4 linked regions of the Arabidopsis thaliana genome follow. The protein of the gene in region 2 interacts with the protein of the main gene of each other region in a biochemical or structural test. Each region holds a gene or a part of one and is shown on either strand. Other genes may lie near its edges.

Region 1 (7,108 bases), on a different chromosome or scaffold from region 2:
CTGAGATTCGGTACTATTGTTGTCTTGTGCAGTGCGGAATATCTTTAGTTAGATACTTAGATATACTATATAAAGTTTACGATTTGATCTTGGGTACGTACTTAACTTTCTCTAGAGTATTTATATTATTTTGTTTTTAATGTTGAGTTTCATGATTAAGCTTGGTCAAAGAATGAGATGGTCAAAGTTAACGAATGAATTAGTTGAAGTCTTAGTTTAGAAAGTCAGACGTTTACTCGAAACGTCGATATGCTACTATTTTAATTTTGTTATGTATATATCCATAATCATAATTTGTGAGATAAGCCGTATTTTTAGATTTTTTTTGTTCTCCCTCAAGTTTGTATCATTATATTACATAATAAAAAGCGAGAGGAGATAGTAAGGACTGAATCTAATACAGTACGTGTTAAGGACTGGCAAACTCTGACCAATCGAAGTTTGGTCTAGAATTTGTTTTCTATTTTTATAAGTTAATCAAAATTTATTAGATTATGTTACATTAATTCATGTGTTGAAAATTGACATACGTACATGCATTTTAAAAATATATTAAACTAAAAGTCAAATACTATCGATATTCAATCAATCAATCTCTTGACAACTAAACTTTATGTTGTTGAAAATTTTAAAATACATTAATGGATTCATTTTTTATTAGTATTTATTATAAATTTTAACTATGTCAAACTATGACAAATTATCAATATAAGAACAAAAACTCAATATATCAAATTCAAACATTCATACAAAAACAACAAAAAAAATTACCCTGGATGAAAACGTATCGATCCAAAAAACCAGAACAACTCACAAATACGATAGAACAAAATAGAAGAAGAAGGAATTTCACACCTCATTCGATTCGAGTCTAAAAGAAATAAACTACATCGTCTCCTCATTTCTCATAACTCTATGACCTATTAAATGTTAGTCAAATATAAATTTACTTCATATGTTGTTTGTGGATGGGGCTACTCACTCATATATAGTCATGTAGTGAAGAAACCTTATCATCTTCTAAAATATCACGTTTTCCATCTTGTTAAAAACCGCAAATACTCATATGTTGCATAAGAGTGTAAGCGGTTAAGTGAATATACTCAATTCGTATATAACGCTTTTCCAACTGAAAGCAGCAGAAACATTCATTGGACCACCTTAAATGTTGTCAACAATGTTGTTAACCAATCAAAACATCTACAGTTCAACAAGTTTTATTATTTGATTCGAGCTTTTACTTTGTGGGGTTTAAATTAATATTTTAATGACCCAGGTTTAATAAAATATAAAATACTCCTATATACATGCATGTATGGGGGCACTCGTATAATATGTGTAATCATTCGATACGTTACAAATAAATATATGTTTATTTAGGCCTAAGAATGTTAGTTGAATTGATCTACCAACAGCTGCAACCATGTTTCAAATCGGTTCAATATTTCTTTTCTTTCTCTTATAACTTTCTTATTAACTACAAAAATATTCCTTAATAGCAGTTCTTTTACGAGTAATCTATCTTCTTTTCTTGTGTAATATCAAATTTATTGTTCAACCAAAAAGAATAATTTGTACAAGAGTTTTAATTTTAATTAAAGTGGAAAGAGAAATGGATAGTGATTGCTATTATGAAAAATCTTTCTAGGAGGCAACATGTCACATCTTTGTTGTTGTTGATATAATCAAATAATAGAAAAGGTAATCACATCTTTGTCCTTTTGTACCAGAATTTTAGACATTAGTTTAGCTATGCAAACCAATTTCGTTCTTTTAGCTCCAAACTAAAGACACATTTTCATTGATGCATTCTTCGATATCGAATTGATTTGTTTATCAAAAGTTTATGAAAATCATTTATATTGCTATATTGTATTTAAGCTTCGAGTAAAGAGATATTTTACCAACTAGGCTTCCTATTAAAAAAATTCCAAATCTATCACATAATACACAGTTTCTATGCAATGAGGATGATGCGATATACATCACATGACTCGCCTCACACGATGTCTTTCGCCGTAGACTACAGATTTCTTCCGTTTAATCTTTTATCCAATTATGAATTATCTGGTAGGGTACTTTATATTTTGAAAATCTCTTTCGTGAGAATATGATAGTAATTGTATACTTTCTTACAAAATTTATTGAGAAGCGTACTTTATATATGATGTTTCTCACTCGAATTAAATACGTTAGTTTAATGGGTCGATTCAGATTTATAATAGATTTAAATATTTCGAAGAAAACGCAAATCAGGGATTTTGGTTGTATCATGTGTGAGAGATTGAATTTCTCCAGAAGCACTCATTAAATCGCGTGTGTAAGGAGTTGCCATACAGCGTCGTATGTAATGTCTTAGTCACTGTTCTAGAATTAAAACATATGTCAAATGTAGAATTAAAAAACAGGGGTTAAAATGTTAAATTATTCGGAGAAGTGGAATTATTATATTAAAAACATTGTGTGATTTTGGGATAAAATCTGAATCATGTTTTTTATTGTGCCAAAAAATTTCTGTTTCAACCTCTTCGTGGAGATGAAAGAAAAGTCAATCGGGAATGAGACTTCTTGTATAACGAATGAAAATATGAACATGTTGATTAATGAATTAATTAACATACGTACTATATTAAGTGGGAATATTAGGTATAGGCCTTCGATTTTCCGTTTTGTTTGGTTTTTTCGATTTTAATAATATTTCTCTAAATTAAAATAAATTTTAGTTTGGTTTATTTAAAATATTAATAAAATAATATAAATAACTATCTAATTAATATATTAAAAAGTATTTTCTATATATATTGATATAAATATTATTCCCATGTTTTATATTGGGTGACGTTATCTTTTAAGTAAAGTTGTAAGATATCTAACTTATTCCTACATTATAATAACTATCAAAATAAAATAACTAATTGTAGTGACAATGATGACTATCAAAATATGTATGTGTTTTGGCTCAAACATAGCGTTTAATAACAAACACAATGGACAATTTTAATAAATTTGATCGATTAGATTTTGTTTCATTTTCATGCACTAGATTAAGGTTCGAATTAGATTCATTTTAGTGTATATAGTGAAACTAATTTGTTACTATATGGAAAAAAAAATAAGTTTATTTTTGGTTCAAGAATTTTTATTCGGTACGGTTTGGTGTGTATGTCCAACCCTGAAAAAAAAACTTGAAAAACTAATAACCTAATAACAACTAATTTTCTTAGAAATACAAATTGGACTTGAATACAAAAATGGAAAGAACAACAACAAATCAATAACTAAAACATCGTTGAACTTGCATCTGCCAAATAAAAATCAATAAATCCCATTATTCTAAAAAGATAGTAGGTTTAGAAAAATTGAATAAATGGAAAAAAAAAATTGTTAGGATCTACGAATGAGAACAAAGTTAGCCTTCAAAATACTTACAAATCCCAATAAAAGACTTCATCTCCATGTGTATTTGAGTGTCAACGACAAGTCTACACAAAGGGTAAGAGGTCAACAAGACCACACAACACTTCTTACTATTAGTTTTGCAAAGGCCGTTCGTTGGACATTTCCTTCTCTCTCCTCCCCTCTTCTTCTTCTTGTTCGCTCTATAAACTCTCATCTCTCACGTCTTTTTTTCCTTACATTCTCCAAACTCAAAATTTCATCACATTAATTTCTCTCTATTTTTCTTTTCTTACTTCAATAGTAATGGATAACACTGACCGTCGTCGCCGTCGTAAGCAACACAAAATCGCCCTCCATGACTCTGAAGGTACCTCTCTATTCTCTATATATTTTCTATTTCCTAAATCCAATTTTATTAAACATCTTGAAAATAAATTTAGTTCCTAGCTAGGATCATATTCTCTTTGTATATATTCGTTAAAACGAGGGATACGTTTAATTACTTCTAAATTAGTTACACCTCGTGCTGACTAAAAGACTTATCAAGATTAGTTTCTAGTTTTAACAAAAATTAATATCTTTTTAAAAAGTTTATATTTGTCTTTTTTTGTTAGTTTAATATTGTTTTGAGTTTAATTGGTTTAATATTGTTATTTGCAGAAGTGAGCAGTATCGAATGGGAGTTTATCAACATGACTGAACAAGAAGAAGATCTCATCTTTCGAATGTACAGACTTGTCGGTGATAGGTAACAATTTCTTCTTCTTCTACTTTTTCTAAGATTATCCCAGCATAAAATAAATTTTATATTTTAGACATGTCTAGCTAAAACAATTTAATATGCAGGTATATACAATTTTACATACGTTAATTTAAGCATATGTACTTTATAACATATGTACAGTGTACCATGTTGTAGGGGAAGCACATGGTGTCCACTAATTTTCTAAAAAAAGACATTTAATTAAAGCTATCACGTTCATTAAATTATATATGTACACACATATATATAGAGATAAAAATAAGAACCTAATTTACTATTCTTATCAGTACGTACTCATGTATATAAATGCTTGGCTGGCTCAAAAATGGAAATTTTTGAACTGACAAATTATATTTTATTATGAAAATATAAATGCTAATGCTTGGGATAAAAATGTTTTTTTTTTTCTTTTGAATTAGGTGGGATTTGATAGCAGGAAGAGTTCCTGGAAGACAACCAGAGGAGATAGAGAGATATTGGATAATGAGAAACAGTGAAGGCTTTGCTGATAAACGACGCCAGCTTCACTCATCTTCCCACAAACATACCAAGCCTCACCGTCCTCGCTTTTCTATCTATCCTTCCTAGTGTTTTTGTTTTTAAGCCAACGAAAAAAGAAAATAAAAAAATTATAATAGATGTATAGTAGTGGTTCTTGTTAGTTTGAAGAATTCATCATCTATTGTTTTCTTTTTGTTGTTATTTCATTTATAATTTTTATAGTATAGGTTTCATTTGGTAATCAACTTTAATCCATGCGGTTAGGTTTTTTTATTTTCTCGTCTACGACTTTTATATCCACAACTAGATTTTAATCCGCGGTATATCGCGGTATAATTTACTTTTTAAAGTTAATATATATTAAAACTTGCAAATTTTATTTTTATAAAATATTTTTATTTTACAGTTTATAATTGTTATTAAGTAACGCTATACAACGAATCCATGAGACAATTGTTAAAAAACTGAAGTTTTAACCCTTACTAAAACAGCATATTAATAATATTTTAAAAATTTATAAATATTGATTCAAATACATCCACCATATAACTCAATTCCAAAATAAAATCTGTTCTGTAATTTCTTTACCCATCCCGTGATTTATTTTTAAAGTAGTAATTTTAAAAATTTGAGAATTATTTATTACATATAAAAGTTTTACAAATTGTATCATTCTCTAATACATTTATATTTTATAGTTTAATTTTATATATAGTAACATTTTATATTTTATATTCTCTAATATATTTTATATTCTCTAATACATCAGTAATTAGAAAGTAAAAAAAATTGTGTATTAGATTTAGTCCTTTGAAAGAACTTATCAAGAGGAAACTGATCATTTGTGCAAAAATGGTTGGGTAATATTTTAACTAATGACAATAATTTTAAATAGTAAAAAAAAAAAAAGAAATACTCCATTAGTTATAGTTGACTAGTATATTTTGAAGAAACTACTTAAAAAAATTATTACAGAATTAATGACATAATGTATCTATACTTTAAAAAAAATGTAACTAAAATAAAAACCCCGATCCAATTCTAACCAAAAGTTATGAACACTTATTTTCACAATCACTTAAATATTAGGTGTTACATGCTTGCACTAGCTATATATATGTAGGACTATGAAGTATGAAGTATGAACTTAATTTTTCTATAAACGTTTTAAGAAATAAAGAATCTATATATAGTATTGCCTTTCATACAAAAAATTATCAGTTTGAAAACTTTCTACCAACACGATAAAAAGTACTATATGAGATCATCCTAAACGTCTATTTAAAAAACGTGATTCTCATTGGTAAACGACTAATGAACGGACGGTTTGCGTCTAAAACTAACTTTTCATGGACAGGATTTAACGGATAGAATTTTCCATTATATGATTTTCATGATTACGAACCAAACGATTCAATTCTTCAGCTATATGTCGTTTCACATAAACTCACAAATCACAATCTTAGTTAAAGCTTTTAGGCCCAATAGTGTCCCAATTATTTTAGCCCATTATTTAACAAGGTACGACAGATTATCAACGTCACTCGACCAATACAAGTAAAGGTAAAACTATGGGCCGATAAAAAATGCCCAATTTCAGTTTTTACAGCCCAGTTGTAAGTTCACCAGTAGTGGATACACTGCGTTAGGACTATCCATTTCAGAGAATGTATTGATAATTCGGATATCTACAAAGTGACGGAAAAAAAAAAAAAATCGGATATCTACAAACTACAATTTGAATAGCTAGGGATATTCACCACCATCAGTTTTGGGGTTTGGTTGATCTCTAAACCAGCCACACGAAGTTTCACAGTCAAAAGTTTTAAACCCAACAATATGTTGATGTTGAACATGGATGATTCGATGTTGCATCTAAATGTTGAGATTGGATGCAACATCTACAAAAAAATATGAGCATGGCTATAATTTTATTATAAGCTTAGTTTGTGTAAAATCCGAATTTATTGTGGTTTAAGTTGCATATTCCAAATTAGTTTGTGCACAGACTTGCCTTGCATAGTTGCATAACAACAATTAAACATTTTCTCACATCCCAAACATGATGTAAAATATGATTCTACTGATAAAATGTGAAACGAGACATTTAAATTAGTTCTTACACAAATATATATATATATACAATATAAATGTGTATATATTTACATAATTCTTTTTTTGAGACAAAATAATCCATACTTTCACCCAAAAAGAACATCTTTTAAGAGTTTATAAAAGGTACAATCATTTTAGTTTTTTTTTTTTTTTAACATCCACTCTTTTGATTTTCAGAACATTTGCTGCGGCATGTAGAATCATTCTTTCTATTTACAAAAAAATATATCCCTTAACATTTTGTGTTGCAAGAAGAATATTATTCATGAGATCACTCATACACTATTGTTCATTCATATGCAATTACAGCTACAATGCTTGATGTAATGA
Region 2 (8,999 bases):
ATAATTGGATTGGTAGGTGAGTGTACCACGTACGAAAAAGTGAGTTATTTTGAAGATTTCAAATCTCTCATATATATATATACTCATGATCTCAAATGGATACAATCAGCATGCTTCTAAATTATATAGCATCACTAAAATGGTTACCTGCTAGTATATGTCATTGAGTACTCATAACTCATTAACTAAGTACTCAATTTTATTTAACTAAGTAACTCGTAACTCATAACTTTAAATAATAATAATAAATTACTCGATTTTTTGTATTTATTAAATTTGAACATCTGTAGTTTTTTTTTCGTTTCGTCTATATCAACATCTTTCGTTTTATATGAATCTATATATCTGCTACGGCCTACGATTTAGTTATTTCCCCCATGATCCCTAGCTAAAACCACGTGACTTCCTGAAACATCACCAATTGCTCATACAGTATGAGTCATACTCATCATATATACAAAAGCTAAATCCCCTCTTGTTTTTTTTTTATATATGTATACTTTCTTTCTATAATTCTATCTTCCAGTTCTCTTCTCTACCTATCTCATATCTCATCTACTTCAGCTTTTCATCCAGTCAATATCTCTTTTCACCAAACTTCCCCCGATTTAAATGTATCCCTCTCGTATCAAACAACTTGCTCATTTATATATATATATATATATATAAACACCTCAATTCCTCCTTTTGTTATTTGAGTCTGTTTGATAGTTGATTAAGATGACTTTATATAAGGTTTGATATCTTAGTTATGGTCTTCGACGAAATATGTATTTGTTCTAATGAAAATGTATAGCACTAACAAATCAAATACAAAATGTATATATATTCAATCACCAACTATATAATTCGATATTTCTCGGTTAATTAAGAAAATTTGAATAGAATTAAAATTAAATTAAAAATGAATTGAATAGAACTGAGGATAATTTAGTTCATGTTCCAACATTGTAATTCTCAACTATGAACTCTTGAATGGTTAAAAAGTAATATCATTTTTCGATATATGTATTTGTTTAACAATAAGTGGAACATGATCTAATTATTCACGGTTGATAATCCTTCTGAAAAAGAAACACATGCATGTAAAATTGGTTACGTAAAAAGTTATGTGTACTTTAGTAGATATTTATTCAGGATTTGTGGGGTAAATTTAACTTTCACATGAAAAACGTGTATGATATATATGTCCAAATTAATGTCCTTTTCTTTTTTAACGTTTTCTGTTGTGATTAAGAAGTGTTTACAAAGTCGGAAAATAAACCCAAAATTCCCTTATATTATAATTGGGTTCAAGCGTCATCTGCAAACAATTTTTTATTAAAAGAATTTGTTAGAGTTTCCGTTTGGTGCATTATGGTTACCATATATATAAAAAATTCACATTATCTGTTTCTGTAACAATAAAGTATGGGACGAAAGTATATAATCTCTTCTTAAACCAGAGATCAAAACATGTTGTTTATATAAATGGAATTATAGGCTTTGTAGTTAATTCCGCTTATTAAATCTTCGTACTGATAATATGGAAATTTGAAGTCCACATTAGTGATATATAGATGTATGATGGAATACTTTTAAAAAGTCTTATATTAGGAAAATCATTGAAACTTTATGGTCGATAAAGTGATGTGATCTGTGCATGGGTTGGTGCGAGCCATCGAAGAGAACAAATAATAGGACGAAATTGCAAACTGTTTTAAACCTGATAAAAAATATATGAATTACATACTACAAATGCAAGTCTCCTTTTTCATTCGTAAATAGAACACAACTCATAAACTGATGCTTTGCAAAAATTTAACATGGATTTAAAATGCAAAATGATTCCTATGAAAACAAAAAGAAAATGTGTGAGCTCCAATGATATAGAGGAGTCGAAAATAAAACTATAAATGGATGTGAATCTTCAGCATGTTTAAGACCACAAACCGTTTTATGAGAACAAAAAATATGTAGTTTGAACCGATTTTCTTTTCACTGGCGATTAGAAAAGACTTGTAATATAACTTTTCTTCGGACATTTTAACTTCCAATTTTATTAGTCAAGAGTTTTGTGACAATCTTCCTTTACGATCCTATAGTTTACATGAAACCAACTTTTTCTTTAATTTATATTTGTAGTGGTCATAATTTGAAGTCAAATTCCAAAGTTTGGCGGCATGATCCATTAGTATAATGTTAGTTTTTTTTCACTTTTAAACATGCACAAATTCAATTAGTATTTCTACTAAATAATGTAAAAACAGTGTAGCCTAATTGCTTTAACCAATCTGGCGTCTGTGGACTTTGTTCGCCATATATACATCAACTTTTTGCAGTTTCTTTTTCTTATCGAGACTGTAGTTTGGAGTTGGTGAGTAAGCTCCCTGGAGCTCACTTTACTCGACCATACCATTATTTCTGACCTCTTTTTCAAAAACCCGATTTTGTTCATTTTTTTTCTTCTTCTTTTTGTCGTTTTATTTATTTTATTTTGTCGTTATGAGATTAGTCCAAGAATGGTATCAATTCAGATGGACCATGGAATATAAATAATAGATATTAGGTTAGTCTTCGTCATTAAAAAGCCAACTAACACAGCATTATTATTATGTGTGCTAATTTTTTAGTCTTATCTTTTTTACTTTTAAGAAGTCGAGTATGTTCTTCAGGTTAATATAATTTATTATATAAGACCCAATATCCCGGTTTGACCTGGACCGGATCATACCAATCACACAAACTCTCCCAAAGTACTGAAGCAAAGTGAATACTGAATAGTATATAAATAATTTCAAAATATGAGTGTTTAAAGAAAAGAGAGAAACAAAAAAATTACATGGAGATCGATGTTTTTATTTAAAGTTTCATCAAACCCCCAAAACTATTAAATACAACAAATCAAACCCAACCACGAAGATAGATGTGGATGAATGGAGAAACCAATTTCTTTTCACCAGAAAACTTTCGTGAAAAAAGAAAAGAAAAGAAAAAAAATAACTAAATCATTTTTAAGAATTGTGAAGAGAAGCAACTTTATCAGTAAGCTCTGCAACTGTTTCATTATCTTCTTCCTCAGCTATGGTATCCTGCAAACAAAGAGAAAAGAACAACAGTAAGCAAACTTCATCGTCATGTTCCTTTTCAAGATCTTCTGTTTTTCTTTCTTTCTTTCTTTACTAACTAACCTCTTTGTCAGTTTTAGATTGGACACCAATGCATTTAGAACCGCTGATGCTTGCACTCTTCATGAGGTTACGAGCACTGTAACCTCCTCCATTGTCTGCTTCCTCGGATTCCAAGGTTGAAGCCACAGCAGCTGCTGCTCTTCTCTCAACATCACTGCTTTCTTCTGCAGTTTCACCATTTGGAGCAGGAACTCTCTCTCTGCAACATCATCATAGAGAAGCACAATGCTCTCAGAGGGAGATTGAGAAGAGAAGAGAAGAGATAGAGAGATTCTGTGAAAGACATTACCTTGGCAAGGAAGCATGATGTCTGTGAAGTGCAGTACTTCTTCCTCCTCCTGCTGCTCCTGGTTTACCTTGATTTTCTTCAAGATGAGCAAATTGCCTTTTAAATCGGTCTACCCCACTGCGCGTAAACAACAAAAAGATTTATCGAGTTCATAACTTTCTGTTTTCAAGACTTATAGTTTCTGTTAACTGTTAATTAGCTAACCTTGGGTACATAAAGCTAAGCTGATCACCACCACGAAGGTATTCCTCCAACATCTGAGGATGATATTCCAATATCTGATATTTACAAAATCCAAAGAAAAGTGATTGTTAGGATCAATGAATAACATTGAAACAAATTCAGATTAAAGAAAAGGATATATGTAGAAGGCTTTTGTGTTTGTTTGTTACCTCTCGGTAAATTAATTCTCTGACATCATCTTTAACTAACTTCTTTCTCTCAAAGTCAAATTCAAGCTTTGAAATTGGCTGTGTTGTTGGTTCACGCTCTGAATTTGACAAACCACTGAAATATGGATCAGCTAGTGCCTGTAATATGAAAATCAAAAACGACGAATATAAGAGTTTCGTTCTGTATAAAACAAAAGGGAAAAGTAAAGCAAATTTACTTCTCACTTACATCTTCAGCTGATGCACGATCTTTCGGATCAAAGGCAAGCAGGCGTTCCAGAAGGCGGAGAGCCAAAGGATCAGCTTTAGGGAATTTATGAGAGAAAGGGACTGGTTGTTTTTTCCTCATGCTGCTAAGATATCTCCTCGCCTTTTCATTTCTAATCTGTAGAAGTCCAAGATTGCAAAGCTCATTACAAGGATTAAATTACTCTCAATGATGTATGGAACATTAAATTTGCTACAGAAAATATGAACAAGTGTTTTGAGTGACTAACCCTTGATATTGACTCAGGAGGTGGAGTACCAAGAAAGTCAGTCATTAGATCCAATTGGTGCACAACGTTTTTCCCGGGAAACAAAGGCTTACCCAAAAGCATTTCCGCAAAAATGCAACCGACACTCCAGATATCAATCGCAGGGGTATACTGAAATATAACAAGAGTAGACTTAGCTTGAGATGGCTGGTCTTCTCAACAACACTATAGAACCACACAACAATATTCTACAAAATAGAAAACTAGAAGCATTTTCCTGGTAGGGAGAAATAGCAAGAGTAGTTGGGTTTGGTGAAAAAGAATCTTACTTTGGAGAAAAACGATCCACAGAGTTCAGGGGCACGATACCACCGAGTAGCTACATAATCCTACAAAATCCATATAAACGAAATGAGCTCACAAGCATTTGAAAATAGTTAAGAGGAAGCCTAATGAACAGTTTTGCTTTCACATTGAGTTAGATGACTCACAGTCCAAAATATAGCGGTTGGGGCATCGTTAAAAGAAACGCGAGCCAGCCCAAAATCACAGATCTTCAATTTGCAATCAGCATTAGCTAGAATGTTCTTCGGTTTCAAATCCCGATGAAACACATTAGCTGAAAACAGAGAACCCTTAAGTGTTTCAATATTATCTATAACAAAAATCATGAGGATCGAAAGAGACCAATGTGTAAAACCAGAAACTAACCTGCGTGAACATATTTCAGACCACGAAGAAGCTGGTACAAGAAAAACTGATAATGCTCAGGAGTCAAATCATCATTCGCCTTGATCACTTGATGAAGATCAGATTCCATCAACTCAAAGACAACATAAATATCGCGGAATTCTCTGCGAGAAGGAGGTAACATGATGTGTTTAATCTCCACAACATCAGGATGACGAAGCAACCGAAGCAATTTGATCTCTCTGAGAATCCTAGTAGCATCGGAGACATGCTCAAACACATCGTTGATCTTCTTGATCGCAACTCTCTCTCCAGTGTGTGAGTCAACAGCAGAAGCCACAACACCATAACTTCCTTTGCCAACAACCTCTTGAATCTGATACCTGTTAGCTTCTCCATACTCCGTGAAGAATTCAGTTTCACCCTGAAGAATTTTATTCATGATTCATACTTAAAATTGACCAAAATGATGGATCAAGACAATAAGATCAATCAAACGAAACACAAAACTGAAACTTTATCCTTTTGTGGAAGCAAATGCAATAACACAGAACATTAAGAGAACAAAACAAGTCTCTTCAATCTCAATCAAAAGACAACATCTAAGAGCAAATAGCATAAAAGGGTAGAGAAGGAGAAGAAGAAAGGTACCTTCTTGTGAGGATCCATAGGTAAATGATTACGTTTAGGAACGTTAATAAGCGTTAGACCAGAGAAATCGAGATCTTCTTCAATAATAAGCTCTCCAGAGTTAGCGGAATGATTGGGGTTAGAGGAAGAAGAGAAAGAAGAAGAATTGAAAATGGGTTGTTCGTGATTATTATTATTATTGTTGGAAGAAGAAGAAGAAGAAGAAGAAGAAGGTCGCTGAAAAAGCCATCGACGAACACCGTCGACGAGATTCCCACCACCACCCATAGACCACTACTAGATTAGAAAAGAAAAAGATTAGTAATTTACAAAATTGGGTATCCGAAATTCCTTGAGAGCCAAACAATTACCGTCAAGTCACCGTCTTTCTCGCCGCGTCTCTCGGTTTTGTCCTTCGGAGTTGGAGACCATGTTCTTCTCCTATTTTTTCATTTTTTTTTTAATTTTCTTTTTATGTTTTTTTCATTATTTATGCTCAGATATTTATTTTTTTCCCCTGCTTGATTATTAGAGAGAGTGAGTGGAGGGAGAAGAACAAAATATTTAAACCTTTGGAATATTTCGACGACCCGGTTTGTCTATACCGGTTAATGATAACCTGATTCGGGCATATGCATTTATTGAGTATATGGGCCTACAAAGCGGCCCATACAATAAATGTATTTTCGTTCAATCACTAAACGGATTAAACTCAACCGGACAAGGTTCGAAATTAAGAAGATGTTAGATGTTACATTACAAACCGGAATTAAAAGTCTAATTATGAATCTGAGACACAAAAAAAGAGAGAGTAAAAACGCCTTGCTCGTTCGGTCGCGTTGATGATATGAACATATATTTCATCATGAGCTGAGCAGGTCCAGGAGTCTGTTGCGGTTCGAGCACATCATAGTTATTGGGTCATAAATGAATCCGACAGTAGCGTAATCTAAGCATTTTTTAGTGAATAATACGCTTGATGATATATGTGATATGTCATGGGAGGATAATGCATAAGGTGGTGAGCGAAGCATTTTTTCAGCCAAAAAGACAAAATTTTATTTGAATAAATGATATCAAACAAATCCAGATACGCGAAGGAATATTGAATATGGAAAGCACGATCGTAAACAATTCTGCGATTTATCATTTCTTATTTTTTTTAACAAAATGTACGGTTTTGCATGATATATTTGCATTAAAAATGAATTGGTAAGTTTTTAAATAGCTCTATATTTGCATTAAGCTTTGACTGATTGTACAAAAAATAGAGTAATTTTTTAATTACAGTAGCAAAAAAAAGCAAAACAAAATTCAATTCTCTCCAGCTCAAAAATCCACTCTTCATCCTCTACTATACTCGTATCTATCTATCTACTCTACTCTGTTTTACGTAAGTTTTTTTTAGTTGATTTTCTTTTGTCGGACTTTAAGAGAGAGAAAGTGGCGTCTTTGTGGACTTTCTCAATTCAGGAGAGAGTCAAAGAGAAGGAAGAGGCTTCGCTTACTTGCTGAGAAAAAAGCTCCAAACTTTCTCTTATTGGGTTTTTGATCAGCTCCGGAGATAAAAAAAAAAAGTATTTTCTTGAAATCGAAATCTGATCTCCATTGAGAGTCTTGCTACTTGATTTGGATTCCGATTTAAGGTTTTCTCGAGAATTCTTTTGCTGCAGTTATTAGATTTTGACGAGCCGTTGATCTGGACGGAGTTCCAGATCTCCGGGTCGTGGTACCAAGGAATTAGGGTTTTAGCACAAAGTTCTCGTTTTTCTGTGTATTCGAGGGATGAAGGAGTTTTCGGGTCGATGTTCGCTGCTCTAACATTTGGAGTATGAAGATGAACATGAAGAAATTTCTCAAAAAGCTTCGTATCACGCCCAATCAACGAGACGATGGTGAAGGTTCAGTCTCTAACAGAAGCAATAAGTCTAGTGATGCAGAACCATCTCCTTCTGATTCATTGAGGTCTCAAGATAACTCTGAATTCAAACCCTTTTTGGGTTTATCAAATTGGTTAAGCTCTGTTACTCACAGGAAAAGCCCTTCTTCTTCCAATGCCACCAATAGCAAAGAGGATGACACTACCATGGAACATGGTGGTCCCGTTGGGTCGGAATCTGGGATGCAGGGTTTGGGTTCTAGTAGTAATTCCAAGGATCCAGAAGTTGAAGAAGAATATCAGATACAGTTGGCTCTAGAGTTAAGTGCTAGGGAGGATCCTGAAGCTGCTCAGATTGAGGCTATGAAGCAGTTCAGCTTAGGTTCTCGTCCTTCTGCTCCCGAGAATACTCCAGCTGAACTCATGGCATATAGATATTGGGTGAGTTTTTAACTCATTGCTAGACATAGAAACAAATTTCCAATTCACTTAAGCGACAATAGACTATGCTTGAAACAAAATGTGTTAAGTTGATTATAAGTTTATAACTCTTTTCTGTCTCTTCTAACCAATTTTACATCATCTGGAATTTTGCAGAATTATAACTGTCTTGGCTATGATGACAAGATTGTGGATGGTTTCTATGACCTGTGTGGAGTAATGAATGAATCTTCCTTAAAAAGAATACCTCCCTTAGTTGATCTTCAGGGGACACTTGTGTCAGATGGTGTAACTTGGGATGCTGTTCTAGTGAACAGCAGCAAAGATTCTAATCTGTTGAGACTTGAACAAATGGCTCTTGATATTGCAGCAAAATCAAAGTCAGCGTCTTCTTCAGGGTTTGTGAACAGTGAATTGGTAAGGCAACTGGCAGTTTTAGTTGCTGATTACATGGGTGGACCAGTTTTGGATCCAGATAGCACGTTAAGAGCTTGGTGGAGTCTGAGCTACAGCTTGAAAGCAACCCTCCGTAGCATGGTTCTGCCCCTGGGTTCTCTAACTATTGGATTGGCTCGTCATCGTGCCTTGTTATTCAAAGTATGTACCATGCCCTCATTCACTTTTGCTTTCTGTGAAAATTAGCATAAGAGGGGTATTTTTTGTGATCGCATGACTGTTAAAGCTTCTTGCAGTTTGGTGAATGTTTGAAATTGTGTTCAAAATTGCCCCTGTTTCTCTGACTATATTTATTACATACAAAGCGTATGGCACCTCTAAACGCTTTGTGGTGTTTTGTTTCTTCTTTCTTATGAGACTTTGTAGGTTTTGTGTGATAGTGTCGGCGTTCCTTGTCGAATAGTCAAAGGACAGCAATATACCGGTTCAGATGATGTGGCAATGAACTCCATTAAGACTGATGATGGCAGGTGACTTTCAAATTAAATTCAATCGCTGTGTAATTTTAACAATTTCTCTATCATTTGGAGAGAAAATATATATATATATTGTCACCAAATGTGTGCGTGTAAAAAA
Region 3 (6,513 bases), on a different chromosome or scaffold from region 2:
GCTAAGCTTTGCTACTATCTCTATACTCTTATTTTGATCCTCTTATTTCTATGCAGCTGGTTGATTTCGAATGCTGGAAGATTATTCAGGTGAGATCAGAGAAGAACCTGAAGAATATCTGTAATGAAGGAGCAATATGTGTACTTCCCAATGCAATGGAACACCGAGATATGGATTTACAAGGGAATATCTACTCATTTGGCATACTTTTGCTGGAAATTGTAAGCGGAAGACCTTCTTATTGCCAAGACAGAGGTTGCTTGGTTGAATGGGTAAGAATAGCTTTTCTCTATAAGCTTAAAGCTGAGTACTTATAATAAGTCTCTCTCTCTCTCTTAGCGGTTTACGTGTTTTCATGCGTTTGATGCTGAGGATTTGATTCAAACTCCTAAATATTGCAGGTAAGGGAGAAAAACCTTGGTGCACCAGATGTGATGGCTAGCTTGGTGGATCCTGAGCTCAAGCATTTCAAGCAAAAAGAACTTGAGGCAGTATGTGAAGTGGCAAGCCAATGTCTGAACTTGGACCAGAATGAAAAAGACAAGGATAAGCTTTCTTGTTCGATTCAAGCGCTTTGTGAGACACTAGAGAGTAGAATCACTGTGTCCATTTCTGCAGAATTCAAATCGTCTTCTCTGGCGTGGGCCGAGCTAGCGCTGGCCTCGCCTTCTAACGAAGACGACGATGATAGGAGTAAATAAAATTGGCTTTGTTGTTATGACATTGACATACACTTGTTCGAACATTTTTGCTTCAATTTTGCATTCGGTTTTGATAGCACCGACCATGCCTTGGATAAGTTATCAGGTAGGTTGTTACGGTCGGTCTATTGTTAATACCAATAAACTGGAGGTGTAATCTTGTATACCAAGTTCTTGACGAATGAAATTGTGTTGAGCCAAAAAAGAAAAAAATGACAGGTAGCTTGAAACTAGAGGAATACATCTGTGAACCGAATAAAAAGTTATAAACTCTCACCTTTTCAAACTAGTTTTGGACTTCAAACAACAATCAGAAAGAAAAAGTAAAAGTACAAAAAAGAGACAAAATCGTTGGCATCTGAAGTACAGGAGATGTTTGTTGTGTAGGAGAAACAAAGATCAGTGCATAGAACGAGAGTAATGGTTGTCATTAGGGTTTCTTTTCTGGCTGAAAACCGACATAGCTTTTCTCACAGGAGGCTGCAATGGCGCCTTTCTATCACTATGATGGTTCAAGAACACATCATCTGATACGAAGTACTCATCACCCTGCAAACAACAGCATAATTTACCTTAAGATTTCAATCAAAGTTACAGATTTGAGTTTGAGATAGAAGACACGAAGAGACTAACCGGTTTGCTTGCTTTCTTCTTGGTCCTAGGGTGGAGAAGCTTTTGAGGGAGTTGATCTTCCCGTAGAATCAGATTCTTGGTGATTGCCTCTCTTCCTCCTTTAGGCATTGGTATCGAATACTGCACAGAAAGAAAAGACACATGTATCAGGAGAAGTTTTTATCTGTGTATTAGGTTGCAGATTTTAAAGGAAACAAGGGTTTAAGTTTAAAGGCAGTAACAAATGACAAATTGATCATATACATGCCGGAAAACATGGTGGTTCTGTTCTCATGCTATTTCAAATAAAGAATACAAGATTCTTCACTAATACAGGAATTTTTGGTGTTTTGGTTAGCTTCTGCTTATAACAAGTTACTTACTTGGGTCCCTCGAAGTGTAATTCGTGGTTTACATGCAGCTATGATGGCGCCATTCGCGCCTATTGTAACCGCTACCTTGCGTAGAGTGCCACCATTCCCACATTTGGGACAGAAGATTCTTCCAATTTCAGGAGTTACTGTGTAGCAAGCATGGCATTTTAAGATCCACCTGAAGATGTCAATGCAATAAAGTGTAAGAATTGTATCTTTTTCAGTTAATGACCCTTGCTAAAGAAAAGTGTCTGACATTTGAACAAAAAAAAGGAAGATCTGATCAATTTAGAGTACCTATGCAGTTGGCGAATTTGCATTCCGCCGGGTGCAAGCAATCGCAAACCCATTTGAAGAATAACATTCTGCATTGCATAGTCACCAGTTATACAAGCTACACTGGACTCAGATAAAGCTCTCAATGACCAACTCTGCTCGCTGCTACCATCATCTCCAATCGATGATGCCTCGAAGGTATCCTCAGCCTCACTAGCAATCTCCAAGTTCTCTAGCGCTTGATTTGCAACATCGATCCCCTCAGCTTCGACTTCAATATCATGATCAATATCATCCTCACCATTGATCAAAGTTGCTTCAGCATTCGTCTCTTCAGTCTCTTCTTGGAGAGCCCTTAATGACTCTTCCTCCAACCTCATATCTTTAAGGATGGAAGATATATCCTCACCATTCTTTCCACTATCTTTTGCGTGGGTTTCATTGGCCTCTTTAGTGTGTCGAGCTTTGTCAGCTTCTTGATCTTTCTGAATTTCTTGTTCAGCCAAAGCATTGTAATGTTCCCACCTTGCCTTTCTTCTAAGATACTTTGAGTGAGTACTTCTACTGACTGCGGGTCTCCAATCACTAGCATCATCATCATCATCATATTGCCCCTGGGATGCATCAACTCCCTCCACTACCATCTTACCCTCAAGCTTAATCTCTGTTTTCTTGGGCGGGTATCGCCTATGCTTCTTCCCACCTTCCTGCACATCCTCTTCATGATTCTCAGTATGAGAGACAACAGAACCAACCTCAGAAACATTGTCTGAAGCAATAATATTCATGTTAAGGTCTTTCAATGGAAGGATTTTGGAGTTAGCGTTGGATTTTTCCTCAGTCTCGTTTTCAAGTGCCTCCCACTCCTCCAAGTTAGCCACATTGGAGCCCCAACCAGGTAAATCCTTCTCAGGTAATCTCTTAACTCTAACAGTTTGAATCGGTGGAGGAACATCTCTAAGATTTTTGGTGCCATAAACCTGAGCCTCAAGCGTGTATGACAAAGCAATCAACTTCAGATCAACATCAGACAGAGATTGCAAATCACCAGTAGCTCTTGCAAATTTGATAACTGCAGAACCAAAAACAATCAATCTCAGAGATACAATACAATCTTTTCTCCAACACAAGAATATACAAATACCTACTTAGGTACAAATTTCACAATCACAAGAATAAGAATCACAAAACTAATAAGTGTACCTTTACTTAGAGATTCAGGAGAAGGTTCCATGGTATCAATAGTGAAAGGGATGAAAGCGAGACGACGGCGAGAAGCAGGGTCACGAATCTCAGAGAGAACCTCAGGGACAGTTACGAATTTGTCGGCGAAGTTTGTTAAGCTCTGACGTCCTTCAATGATGGCGTTGGCGTCAACAACCGCAATAGATATTCCTTTTGTGGATTTGCAGTTTCCGACCATCCCGAGAATCGCTGCCGGAGCTCCGTCGTTAACCGGAGGCTTTGAAGGTGGATCTTTCTTCACAATTGAGCTCCACATCGAGGTTGGTTTCGGATCCATGGTTTTCGTTATTTGCCGCTTCAAATGTGGGTGGGTTTAACGAAGAGACTGAGAGATGGAGAGAAGAAGAAGAGTGTAAACAAAAACCTAGGTCAGATCCGAGACGACGTCGCTTTTTGTCCATAATTTTAAATGGGCCTCACAAGGCCCAAATAATTGCGTAGATGTATAAAATACTATCTGATTAGAGCTAGAATTTGAAGACTAGTATTAACCAAACCAAACTAGATCATATCAAGGGTTAATGATATCAAATTATAGTTGTGTTTCCTTTTTATCAACCCTTAACGGCTCTAGAACGTAAAATCTATGGAAATCGAATCTATGCAAATATATGGAAATCGAAACGAATCTATCTATGCACACATCTTTACGCGTTTTTTTATCACCGATCATCTATAAATATATCTAATTCTTTCTAACTATTTCATAGTTCATCATCTTTTTCACAAAGCCAAAGTTTGTCTTCGTGCTTTCTCTTAACTTTGAGCGTGAAAAAACACAGAGTTTGTCTTTGCAATCAACAAGAAGATGACTATGCGATCATCTTCACCTTCGTCCTCTTCTTCTTATTCACTCGCTTTCACAAGTTTGAGCAATAGGCTTGAGACCATCTTCAAGAAAGCTTCAGAGCTTTGCACTCTTTGTGATATCGAAGCCTGCGTTATCTATTACGGACCAGACGGAGAACTTAAGACATGGCCTAAGGAGAAAGAGAAAGTGAGAGACATTGCTCTTAGGTATAGTCTATTGAACGAAGCATTGAGACGCAAGAAAAGCGTTAATCTTCATGGGTTCCTGAACAAGAAGAAGAACAAGGGTTTGAAGAATCCGAACAAGAAGATGAAGACGAGTCTTAAGAACGTGAATATTTTAAAGTATCCACTCGCTGATCATTACCCTCCCGACCAAGTTTCTCCACTGATTCAGTCCTTGGAACTCCATGTCTCTAAATTCCAAGAAAGGCTTCGATTTCTTGAGTCGCAGAAACAGAATCAGACAAAACCGGATCATCAGAGTTTAACACCATCCTCTCTGAATCATTACACCCAATCTTTGAACCCTAGCCAGTTCTCGCTGTTTATGTATAACCATGGAGACAATACTCTGTCTCAGATCCCAGTCTCTGCATCAAATTTCAATCAGGATTATTTCTCAGCGTTACTTGAAGAATCTGAGTTGAAGAATCAGTTAATGAAGCCGGAGATTTGTGGTTATGATCAGAATCAGAACATGAGCATGGGTGACATCACAAACAACAAATTTCAAGATCCTTGCGTCTCAAACAAAGAAGCGGTACAAGAATCTGTCAACAACTTTGGGTTGAATCAATTGATGTACAAGGAGTTTTATGGTTGTGATCAAAACATGTCTATGGGTAACATCAATAGCAACAGCTTTCAAAATCCTTGCGTCTCAAACACACAACATTACTCGGCGGTAGAAGAATCTGTGAAGAACCCCTGGTTGAATCAGTTAATGCAGAATGAACTTTACGGTTACGGTTATGCAGGCTTTTGTTAAATTCTTATGATTTATTAAGAACATCTTGAATCAATTTGATGTGTTGTTGTTGATCTGTATTCAGCTATTGTAATAAATTTGAATCATCATCCCTAGAAACATTAATTACTAAAAGCCAATTTTATCTATTTCTGATTGCTCTCTATCATAATAAAGCCAAATTTCCAATAGACTCTCAACAGAGCAATAACCGTGGCTGAGTTCTGATTCCTCCACTTTGTCTTTGTCTTTTCTATTCACAGATATAACATCCTCTCTTTTCAAACCTGTTTCAGTGATTCTCTGTTCTAAGAAATAATAATCATCGCATGTTTATTAAACGGAACAACATAAGCATTACAGTTTCAGTAAACATGAGAACAGTGTGTGGGGGTGGGGTGGGGGGGGGGGTGGGGGTGGTGTTTGGACACTAATGTTTGCAAGCTTAAAGATAAATTGTGCAGGTGACTCTTCACACTACTGTTATTTTTTGTCTTGTGATGATGATTCCTTCCCTACCATAATGTCTGCACTCTGCAGCAACTTCCCTCTCCTCTTGACCTTTATCTTGTGATAGTCCCTCCCCTTCCATTATGTCAGCTGCAGTTTCCCACCCCTCTTGGCCTCTATCTCCTGATGGTTCCATAAGTTTCCATACTTCCATTATATTTCCACCTTGCTTTCCTTTGAGTTTTAGCAGTGCAGCTACCCACTTTTCTCGACCTTTACCAGCTAAAAACGATCCTAACAGTCTAAGGCCCAAAGGAAGTAAGCCAGTGAGATGGACAGCACAAACTGCGAGCTGGTTCAACTATAATTTACATATAAATCTAAACCTTCATGTTGTGATGTTCAAAATGCTCGGGTTCGGTAAAAACCTTTGATAAAGTGATTATTACATATAGTTCAAAAAACAAGTGATTATTACATTCCTTATTTTTCTTACAATGGAGAATAGGAGATAATCGGCTTTTCTTCAACGAACCAGTGACTGACCCCTGAAACCGGTTTTGCCAAAGTTTTGTTCTAAGTTCTTAGATCTTGGATTGAAGACCCGGTTTAGATAAGGTTCCCATCTCTCGCCGCTTCTGGAATCCTTCTTTGACTTTGAAAAGGATCTCATGGGTCTCATCAAAGTGAGGCATTGTTGCTTTTTTCGTATTCTCAATCCATTGTTCAACTTTCTTATGAGTGCTGAGCAATCTAAGACGATCTTTGTCATCCAAAACCTACAAAATTGCATAAATTTTACAATCAAAAGCCAAAACATAGCAAGGATTGGTATTTCGATGAATTAAAAAAACGCACAAAACAGTGAAATTAAGTGAGTACCTGCAGCTGCATAAGTTCGCATACAAGGCTGAGATCAGCTATAGATGGTTGGTTGCTTCCGAGCAAGAATTTAGCATTGCCCTTAAGCCAAAAAGTCTCTAGAGTGGACAGAGACTTTGTTAGTAACTGCTCAGCTTCAGCAGCTGCTTTCGGATTCAGAGGAAGACCGAGAGCTGGACCTAGTACACTATTC
Region 4 (7,185 bases), on a different chromosome or scaffold from region 2:
TTTGTCATCCATCGTATTGAGACCTTGAGCTATTTAGTATTTAGCTAAGTTTCTGAATCTTTATGGTGTAATTGATGTTGCTATTCGTAAGCTAATTGATGCCATAGATTGCGAAAAGAGAAGTTGTTTCTTCAGTATTCAAGAGATTTGTGTTCTTGTGTTCAAGTTTAGATTTCAAGTTATTTTGTAATAATGTGGAATCAGAAGGACAAGTATGTCTATTTTCTGTATATTGATTTGATGAGGCCTAACTTCTTCTTGTCTACTACCTTGTAACAGTTTCGGATGACGAGGAAGTTGATTACTCCATCAAACCGGAGTTCTATGATTCAGATATTGATGATAAAGATGAGCTTTGGATGGATAAGAAGAGAGATGGTCGTACTTCTGATGCTCTTCTTAGCTGTCCAGCTTGTTTCACCACTGTCTGCTTAGAGTGTCAGAGGTATTTTCCTCTCTCAACATCAGAACTTGGTGTTTTATCTTCATACGATTGTTATATCCCATCCAGGCTTTGCTTTCTCAATGTTGCTAGGGCTCCATTGTTCAATCCTCACCAATGTGTTTGCTAATATATTGATAGTAACTTGCTAGATTCTGGAATGTTGACTTGATTATGAGATTCTTGACAATTGTTACAGGCTCTAGGTTTTTGTTAGGAATGACAATCTTGGTAGAATCCAAACCAGTTATATGACTTGATTAACGAGAAAAATTTCTACTCTCAGTCCAATTCCCAATCCCAAAACCCATAGGTAAATCCAGAACTACCTTTTCTAGCTGCTAGCTCTGTAGCTAACTAACTCAAAGATTGCTGATACAACTACTATCCACTACACACCGCCTAGGCTATTACAACACTCATGCGATAGACTAATATAAGGACTTTATCACAATGGATTTCTTTCTTTCCTCTTCAATCCGATGATATTGTTTTGTTTATGACTTGATCCCTTTGCACTTCTTTGAACTTGGTTTTAGTATTATAAACTGCGGAACCAAATTAAGACAATCTGAGTAAAACTTTTGCAGGCACGAGCAGTATGTGACACAGTACAGAGCAGTCTTTGTGGTCAATTGCAAAGTAGGTACAGACACAGTTTTGCAACAGAATACAATGCCCTTAAAGGTTGGTAAAAGAAGGAGAGATTCCGAGATGCAAGAAACTGGTTCTGAAGATAGCGAAAAAGTTAACCCGGTCTTTTGCTCAGCTTGTTCCACAGAGATCGGAGTAGTTGACAGTGAAGAGATCTACCATTTCTTTAATGTCATTCCAAGCGAGCCTTAAAACAACCTGGTTTTATGAGTTATTTGTAACGAGTTCTAAACAGGTGATTAGGATTAAAGTTTCGATTGTTTGCGTTAATCTTTACGTTGCATGTATATCGTTTGATAAAAATCAAGTCACTAGAGAATTTTGAGTTATACCAAAGTCAGAATCGTTCACAGTTCACATGATTAGTAATTTAGTATCAAACAAATACCAAATACAACAAACTACAAAGCGAGTTGGTCTCTGAACGTCTTTTAGTCACGCTAGTCAAATAGATGGCAGAAGATAAAGCGATCCTCTCAGTTTAAAAAAACGAGATGACGTGGATTATTCTGATTGGTGGAGTAAGCTAAGAAAATCTAGAGAGGCATCGCCAAATGAGAAAACTAGAAAAGAAGATATTTGTATGAAACACGAGTTGATTCTCTTTTGACAGAAGTGTCACTTTCTTGTATTTTCGTCCACCAACCCCCATACTAATAATTCTATACAAATTCCCATTAATAAATAAAGGCAGATGAGAATGGGCTCCAGCTGTTTAACACATTTGACAATTGTCAAATGATTCGTACACATATTACTATTTTAAAATAAAATAAAAAGATTAGAATATACTATAAGCATTTTTGGTAAATTGGTGATCATTAAAAATTTCTATGCATTTATCCAGCTAACCCCACAACTAATCATTCAAATCCCAGTTAATCACTCAATATAACTTTTAACATGCGCCGGTCATTAATAATTGTCAATTGTATCATACAATTTGTATGTAAGCTTTTGTGGCAACGTTTTCTTTTAAGAACTAGCTAGTTCAATTGAATCCTAGCAAGTAGCTACGAAATGTGACTAAAATTTCTCTACGAGTCTCTAGTTTGGTGGTTCCTCAGCTGTGCGTCGTAGTTTCAAGTTTTTACTATCTATCATACTTTAAGCATGCACAAAAATATTCTTTTCATCGCTTTTGATAGCACCTTCACGTATTATATCGACAACTTTAAGAAGTTGGCTTGGGTATAGTTTTTAAAAAAAGGCATTTAAACATCACTCATGGTTGTATCGTATGGGTACGGCAATCATCATAACAATTATTTCTGTTAAAGGATTTCACAATCATATAACAAATATTAAGACGATAATATAGTATAATGTGCATTATATATTCATCATGAAAGAAATTATTGTCGCGAAACAATTTAAAAAATCTCGACGCAACGACATATCAAAATCGGCATATCTGCCAGGTGGGCACGGCTACTTTTATTATGCCACGCTCCAAATGGAATGATTTGTTTTATTATTGCTTAATGGGTAATAAGAATTTTGATTATACAAATTGCACACACGAACGCATATCGTGTGGGGGTCACAGTGGTTGGGTTATACTCAGATTAGTAACCTGTGTCATAAAGCGCGTAATTGTCATTTCTTTTATTTGAGCTATTTATTTATCCTAGAAGTTAAATAAAAAATAAAAAATAAGAGACAATCACAAATTAGTAGATGTGAAATTATAAATGACTAAAAATAAATAAATTAAAATCGTACAAAATAGAATCGTAATCAGTGTAGGTGTAAAGTATACTCACCAATCAATTACCACCATTGATTGTCTCTTATTCCTCATCTTTTCAACTATTGTGGAAACTGGAAACAGCTTTTGTCTTAATTGCAATCTAATTTCCCTACATCCTATAAAATGCATTAAACTCATGAGGTAAACGTGTATGATTACTGTGGTTACAAAGCATAAAACATATACTACTTCATTCTAAAACAAATTTTATCGATAAGAAATAAAGGTAAAAATCAGCATTGTTGTGGTTACATGTCACAGAAGTAATAAGAATTAGTAAAAACCAAAATCGAATTCATATTATTCTTGTAACGCTACTTATTTTCTACGAATCCTAATTACTCGTAAATTAGCTAATGTAATTCAAGCAACCATATAAATGGGGACCCCAACTAACTCCTAAACCTAAAAACTTAAATTCTCCTGCCCGACCGTGGTCCAACGCTATAGTCAACACCGGAGTCAAGCGCGTGAGCTTCAACCGCGTCCGGACAAATTAAAAAAACCTAGCAGAAGTGAGCTGTGTGGGACCCCACCAGCCATGTGCTCTCCTTCCTGTCTCCACCAGCCTAGCTTCCTCTCAAATCATTACCTCCTTCTTCTTCTTCTTCTTCTTCTTCTCCTCGAGAGAGAGTTAGATAGTGATAACGAAATCCTAATTCCATGGCCGACAACGACGGAGCAGTGAGTAACGGCATCATAGTCGAGCAGACGTCAAACAAAGGACCTCTTAACGCCGTTAAGAAACCACCGTCTAAAGATCGACACAGCAAAGTTGACGGAAGAGGAAGAAGGATTCGTATGCCAATCATTTGCGCAGCTCGAGTTTTTCAATTGACCAGAGAGTTAGGTCACAAGTCCGATGGTCAAACCATAGAGTGGCTTCTCCGTCAAGCTGAGCCTTCTATCATAGCCGCCACTGGAACTGGCACTACTCCGGCGAGTTTCTCCACTGCTTCTCTCTCCACTTCTTCTCCGTTTACTCTCGGGAAACGTGTCGTCAGAGCGGAGGAAGGAGAATCCGGCGGCGGAGGAGGAGGAGGGTTAACAGTGGGACACACAATGGGGACTTCGTTAATGGGTGGTGGTGGTTCTGGTGGGTTTTGGGCTGTTCCGGCGAGGCCGGATTTCGGACAAGTCTGGAGCTTTGCAACCGGAGCTCCACCGGAAATGGTTTTTGCGCAGCAGCAGCAACCAGCTACACTCTTCGTCCGCCACCAGCAGCAACAGCAAGCTTCCGCCGCCGCAGCAGCTGCAATGGGTGAGGCTTCAGCAGCTAGAGTTGGGAATTATCTTCCGGGTCATCATCTCAATTTGCTTGCTTCTTTGTCTGGTGGAGCTAACGGGTCGGGTCGGAGGGAAGACGACCACGAACCACGTTGAGAAATGGTATTGTCTTTTTGGTAATGTATAGAAAAATTCCTATGTTTTATGTCATCGAAAGTGTTTAGAAAGTACCTCTAATTTGCGGTTTCTTTTGCTCCTTTTTTACTTAATTTAAGCTTATTGCTTGTTTGATTAGGGTTTTAGGGTTTAAGAATATTTGGTCTCGTTAATTTGTTTCGGAGAGTGATAGAAAGAGAGAGAGATTGATTGATTGTTGTACCTAAAACGCTATAAAAGCTCTGTTTTTACTAGCGAAACAGAGAAGTCGTTTAACTAGTGATCATTGCCATTCAATCAAGTCTCTTTAGAAAACTAAAGAAACAGCAAAAGAAACAAATTTGAAGTTGTCCCGTTAGTTTTAAGCATGAATTCTATTATGGTTCGTTCGTTAATGAAGTTGTCCCACTATTTACTCTTTCGTAGTAAAGGAAACAAATTTGAACTCGGGTTAACGGAGCCGGTCCGGATGATAATTCAGGTTCCACCAAAAACTTTTAAAACTAATAACAAGCCCATCCACTATCCAGAGCAGTATAATCGTAAGCTTCAAACACAAAAGAAATACTTCAATTTAACTCATCGTTATCAGTTATAACCGGAACAAACCGATAGGGGACCATTGGATCAAACCGTCTCGAACCGGTAACCCTAAAATAGTCTGGTTCTTGAAATTTCGGTGATCCTGCAACGTTTCTTCTCATCGATTTTGACCGGAAGCTCCTTGATTCAAACAAGACTTTTCTTATCGGGGAAGATCAGACGGAACAGAAGAGATCTCTGTGTTTACAAAAGTAATTCCTTGATTATAGCAAGCAAAGAATAAAGGGTAAAGGTGTAGACTTTGCTTCTCTCCTTCAAAGTCCACGCGATTCTCACTGTCAGCCTCTGCGAAATTTCCAGTCTTTCTCGCATTTTCCCTCGTAGCAGCCGTCAATTTCAACTGGGTATGTCTTAGATCTTCGTAGCGTTTACGGTTCCTGCTCAATTCTTCGTTTCTCGTGGTTTGACAGTTGAGTTACAGAAAACGAGGACGAAAAGCCTAATTGAAGAAATTAGTGATTAGAATTTTGTGATTCCGTGAAATTTTAGTATTAGTAAGTATAGACAGAATAGAAAAAAATCCCGTACTATTCATCAGCTATACATATCTGTTTGTAATTCTTTGAGTAAGATCTTCAATTCTCATGTGAAAACTGTGTTTTGAATGCTTGTCATAGATCAATTGTTGGATTAAGAAACATTGTAGTTTAGTGTTAGAAGAACATTAATGTGAGATTTGTTACATTGATTGACATTAGTGTTCCTGTGATTTGGTTTTAAAAAATCTTTGGTGAAGTGAGTTGGATTGGATTTTACTTGAATGCTTGTTGTTTCCCATCTTTTGGCTAATGATGTTCTTTGACCTTCTCGGGTCTGTTACTCGCATGTTTTTTCAGGTCTAAGTAATCTTGTGAAGACTCAATGACAGAGATATTTAGTGACACCGGGTTCAGACAGTTAACTCAAATGTTCCTGGCGATAATCTTCTTCCACACATCGGAGTACATTCTCGCCATAGCCATTCACGGAGCATCGAAAGTAACTTTAAGCTCACTCTTAATCAGCAAACACTATGCTTTAGCAATGCTAATATCAGTCCTCGAGTACATAGCCGAGATTGTTTTCTTCCCGGGGCTGAAACAACACTGGTGGATCAGCAATTTCGGTCTTACAATGATCATACTTGGAGAAATCCTTCGCAAAACCGCGATAATCACAGCAGGTAGATCGTTCACACACCTTATAAAAATTCGCCGGGAGGAGCATCATAAGCTTGTGACAGAAGGAGTGTATCAAATCATGAGGCATCCGAGTTACTCCGGGTTTCTCATTTGGTCTGTGGGAACGCAAGTAATGCTCTGTAATCCAATTTCAGCGATTGCGTTTGCGGTTGTGGTGTGGCGGTTCTTTGCAGAGAGAATACCTTATGAGGAGCATTACTTGAAGCAATTTTTTGGGAGACAGTATGTGGAGTATGCGCAGAGAGTTCCTTCTGGTGTTCCTTTTGTAAACTGATCCTTAGATCAATTGTGAACATATACGAGCATTGTTTGATTACCTTTTACATAGAAAATTATGAAAGAGATGTTGTTACTCATGTTTTCAGTTAATGTTCTCTTGTCAATGTCTTTGTGTTTCTTTTTTTTTATTGCTAAATAATTTGGATATTATTCCAAAGACTCTGCCTGAGCCAGAGGTTTATGCTTATGAACATAAAATTTGACCACTGGGTTTTAAAAGTGATTTAGCTCCGGCGAAGAGTCTCTCCGTGAGAGCGAGCTTGTCCGATTTGTAAGCACGAGACGGAACCATGTTGTGCGGAGGCTCACGTGTCTTGCAGCATTTGTCCGACCACAATCATCATAATTCGATTGGTTTAGGATTAGGGTTTTGTGGTGCTAAGATTGTGCAGCTCTCTTCATTCTTTCTCAGGCCTTCTCAGGCTATGGCGAAGAGTCATCATTTCAGCCGTAAATTGCGTCAGCGGATGATTTCTTCATTTGGGTCTCATTGCAGAACATCCGGAGAAGTCCCAATTCTTCACAATTGTTTCAGGTTTTGTTTCTCTCCTTGATTTGGTATATCTGATTCTTAAGTGTCATTGTCGAGATTTATGTTTCTGGACTCGAAAGAGAGATCTTTAATTAATTCATCTGACTGATGTTAAATTCGGGGTCTTTTGCTTTCTTCTACTGAAGCCAACGAGAAGATGATCCTGAGCTTCCAGTTGAAGGGTTATCTCCAGTGTCAGGTATCTATCTAGCTTGCTTGTTTCTTGCATCTTCATTCAATTTCCTAAGAAAAGTCACACCTTTCTACTCTTTGATGGGGATTTTGTGGTTACTGTGCGGTTCCTTTCCTTTTGGAAAGAGCTTTAGTATACATTTGGTAGAAGAATAGATGTTAGCTC

The links.
Region 1: of the proteins of ATMPK8 (region 2) and TRY, one has a biochemical effect on the other in vitro, tested with the Arabidopsis thaliana proteins (one large-scale study listed by BioGRID).
Region 3: of the proteins of ATMPK8 (region 2) and AGL75, one has a biochemical effect on the other in vitro, tested with the Arabidopsis thaliana proteins (one large-scale study listed by BioGRID).
Region 4: of the proteins of ATMPK8 (region 2) and TCP11, one has a biochemical effect on the other in vitro, tested with the Arabidopsis thaliana proteins (one large-scale study listed by BioGRID).

What each region holds. Positions count from the first base shown.
Region 1 is NC_003076.8:21,579,211-21,586,318, forward strand, and holds TRY (Homeodomain-like superfamily protein), read left to right. Parts: upstream 1-3,403; 5' UTR 3,404-3,702; coding exon 3,703-3,766; intron 3,767-4,059; coding exon 4,060-4,147; intron 4,148-4,581; coding exon 4,582-4,750; 3' UTR 4,751-5,033; downstream 5,034-7,108. UniProt on the Arabidopsis thaliana protein: Transcription factor. Involved in epidermal cell fate specification. Negative regulator of trichome development, including endoreplication, by lateral inhibition involving intercellular interactions.
Region 2 is NC_003070.9:6,241,648-6,250,646, forward strand, and holds ATMPK8 (Protein kinase superfamily protein), read right to left. Parts: upstream 6,166-8,999; 5' UTR 6,019-6,165; exon of another isoform or gene 5,945-6,018; 5' UTR 5,936-5,944; coding exon 5,669-5,935; intron 5,442-5,668; coding exon 5,039-5,441; intron 4,947-5,038; coding exon 4,819-4,946; intron 4,717-4,818; coding exon 4,657-4,716; intron 4,499-4,656; coding exon 4,349-4,498; intron 4,237-4,348; coding exon 4,081-4,236; intron 3,990-4,080; coding exon 3,852-3,989; intron 3,738-3,851; coding exon 3,664-3,737; intron 3,577-3,663; coding exon 3,460-3,576; intron 3,370-3,459; coding exon 3,171-3,369; intron 3,072-3,170; coding exon 2,994-3,071; 3' UTR 2,651-2,993; downstream 1-2,650. Other genes in the region: AT1G18160 (Protein kinase superfamily protein), read left to right, coding at 7,479-7,967, 8,124-8,564, 8,790-8,893. UniProt on the Arabidopsis thaliana protein: MKK3-MPK8 and CAMs-MPK8 modules negatively regulates ROS accumulation through controlling expression of the RBOHD gene during wounding.
Region 3 is NC_003076.8:16,486,528-16,493,040, forward strand, and holds AGL75 (AGAMOUS-like 75), read left to right. Parts: upstream 1-4,016; coding exon 4,017-5,009; downstream 5,010-6,513. Other genes in the region: AT5G41180 (leucine-rich repeat transmembrane protein kinase family protein), read left to right, coding at 57-272, 402-701; AT5G41190 (RNA-binding NOB1-like protein), read right to left, coding at 1,101-1,250, 1,335-1,454, 1,697-1,865, 1,985-3,035, 3,167-3,485; GSTT1 (glutathione S-transferase THETA 1), read right to left, coding at 6,023-6,217, 6,321-6,513. UniProt on the Arabidopsis thaliana protein: Probable transcription factor that may function in the maintenance of the proper function of the central cell in pollen tube attraction.
Region 4 is NC_003076.8:2,677,316-2,684,500, forward strand, and holds TCP11 (TCP family transcription factor), read left to right. Parts: upstream 1-3,085; 5' UTR 3,086-3,512; coding exon 3,513-4,232; 3' UTR 4,233-4,678; downstream 4,679-7,185. Other genes in the region: AT5G08320 (E2F-associated phosphoprotein), read left to right, coding at 280-445, 1,033-1,288; ATSTE14B (Isoprenylcysteine carboxyl methyltransferase (ICMT) family), read left to right, coding at 5,697-6,290; AT5G08340 (Nucleotidylyl transferase superfamily protein), read left to right, coding at 6,586-6,830, 6,974-7,026. UniProt on the Arabidopsis thaliana protein: Transcription factor involved in the regulation of the circadian clock. Acts as a repressor of CCA1 by binding to its promoter. No binding to the LHY promoter.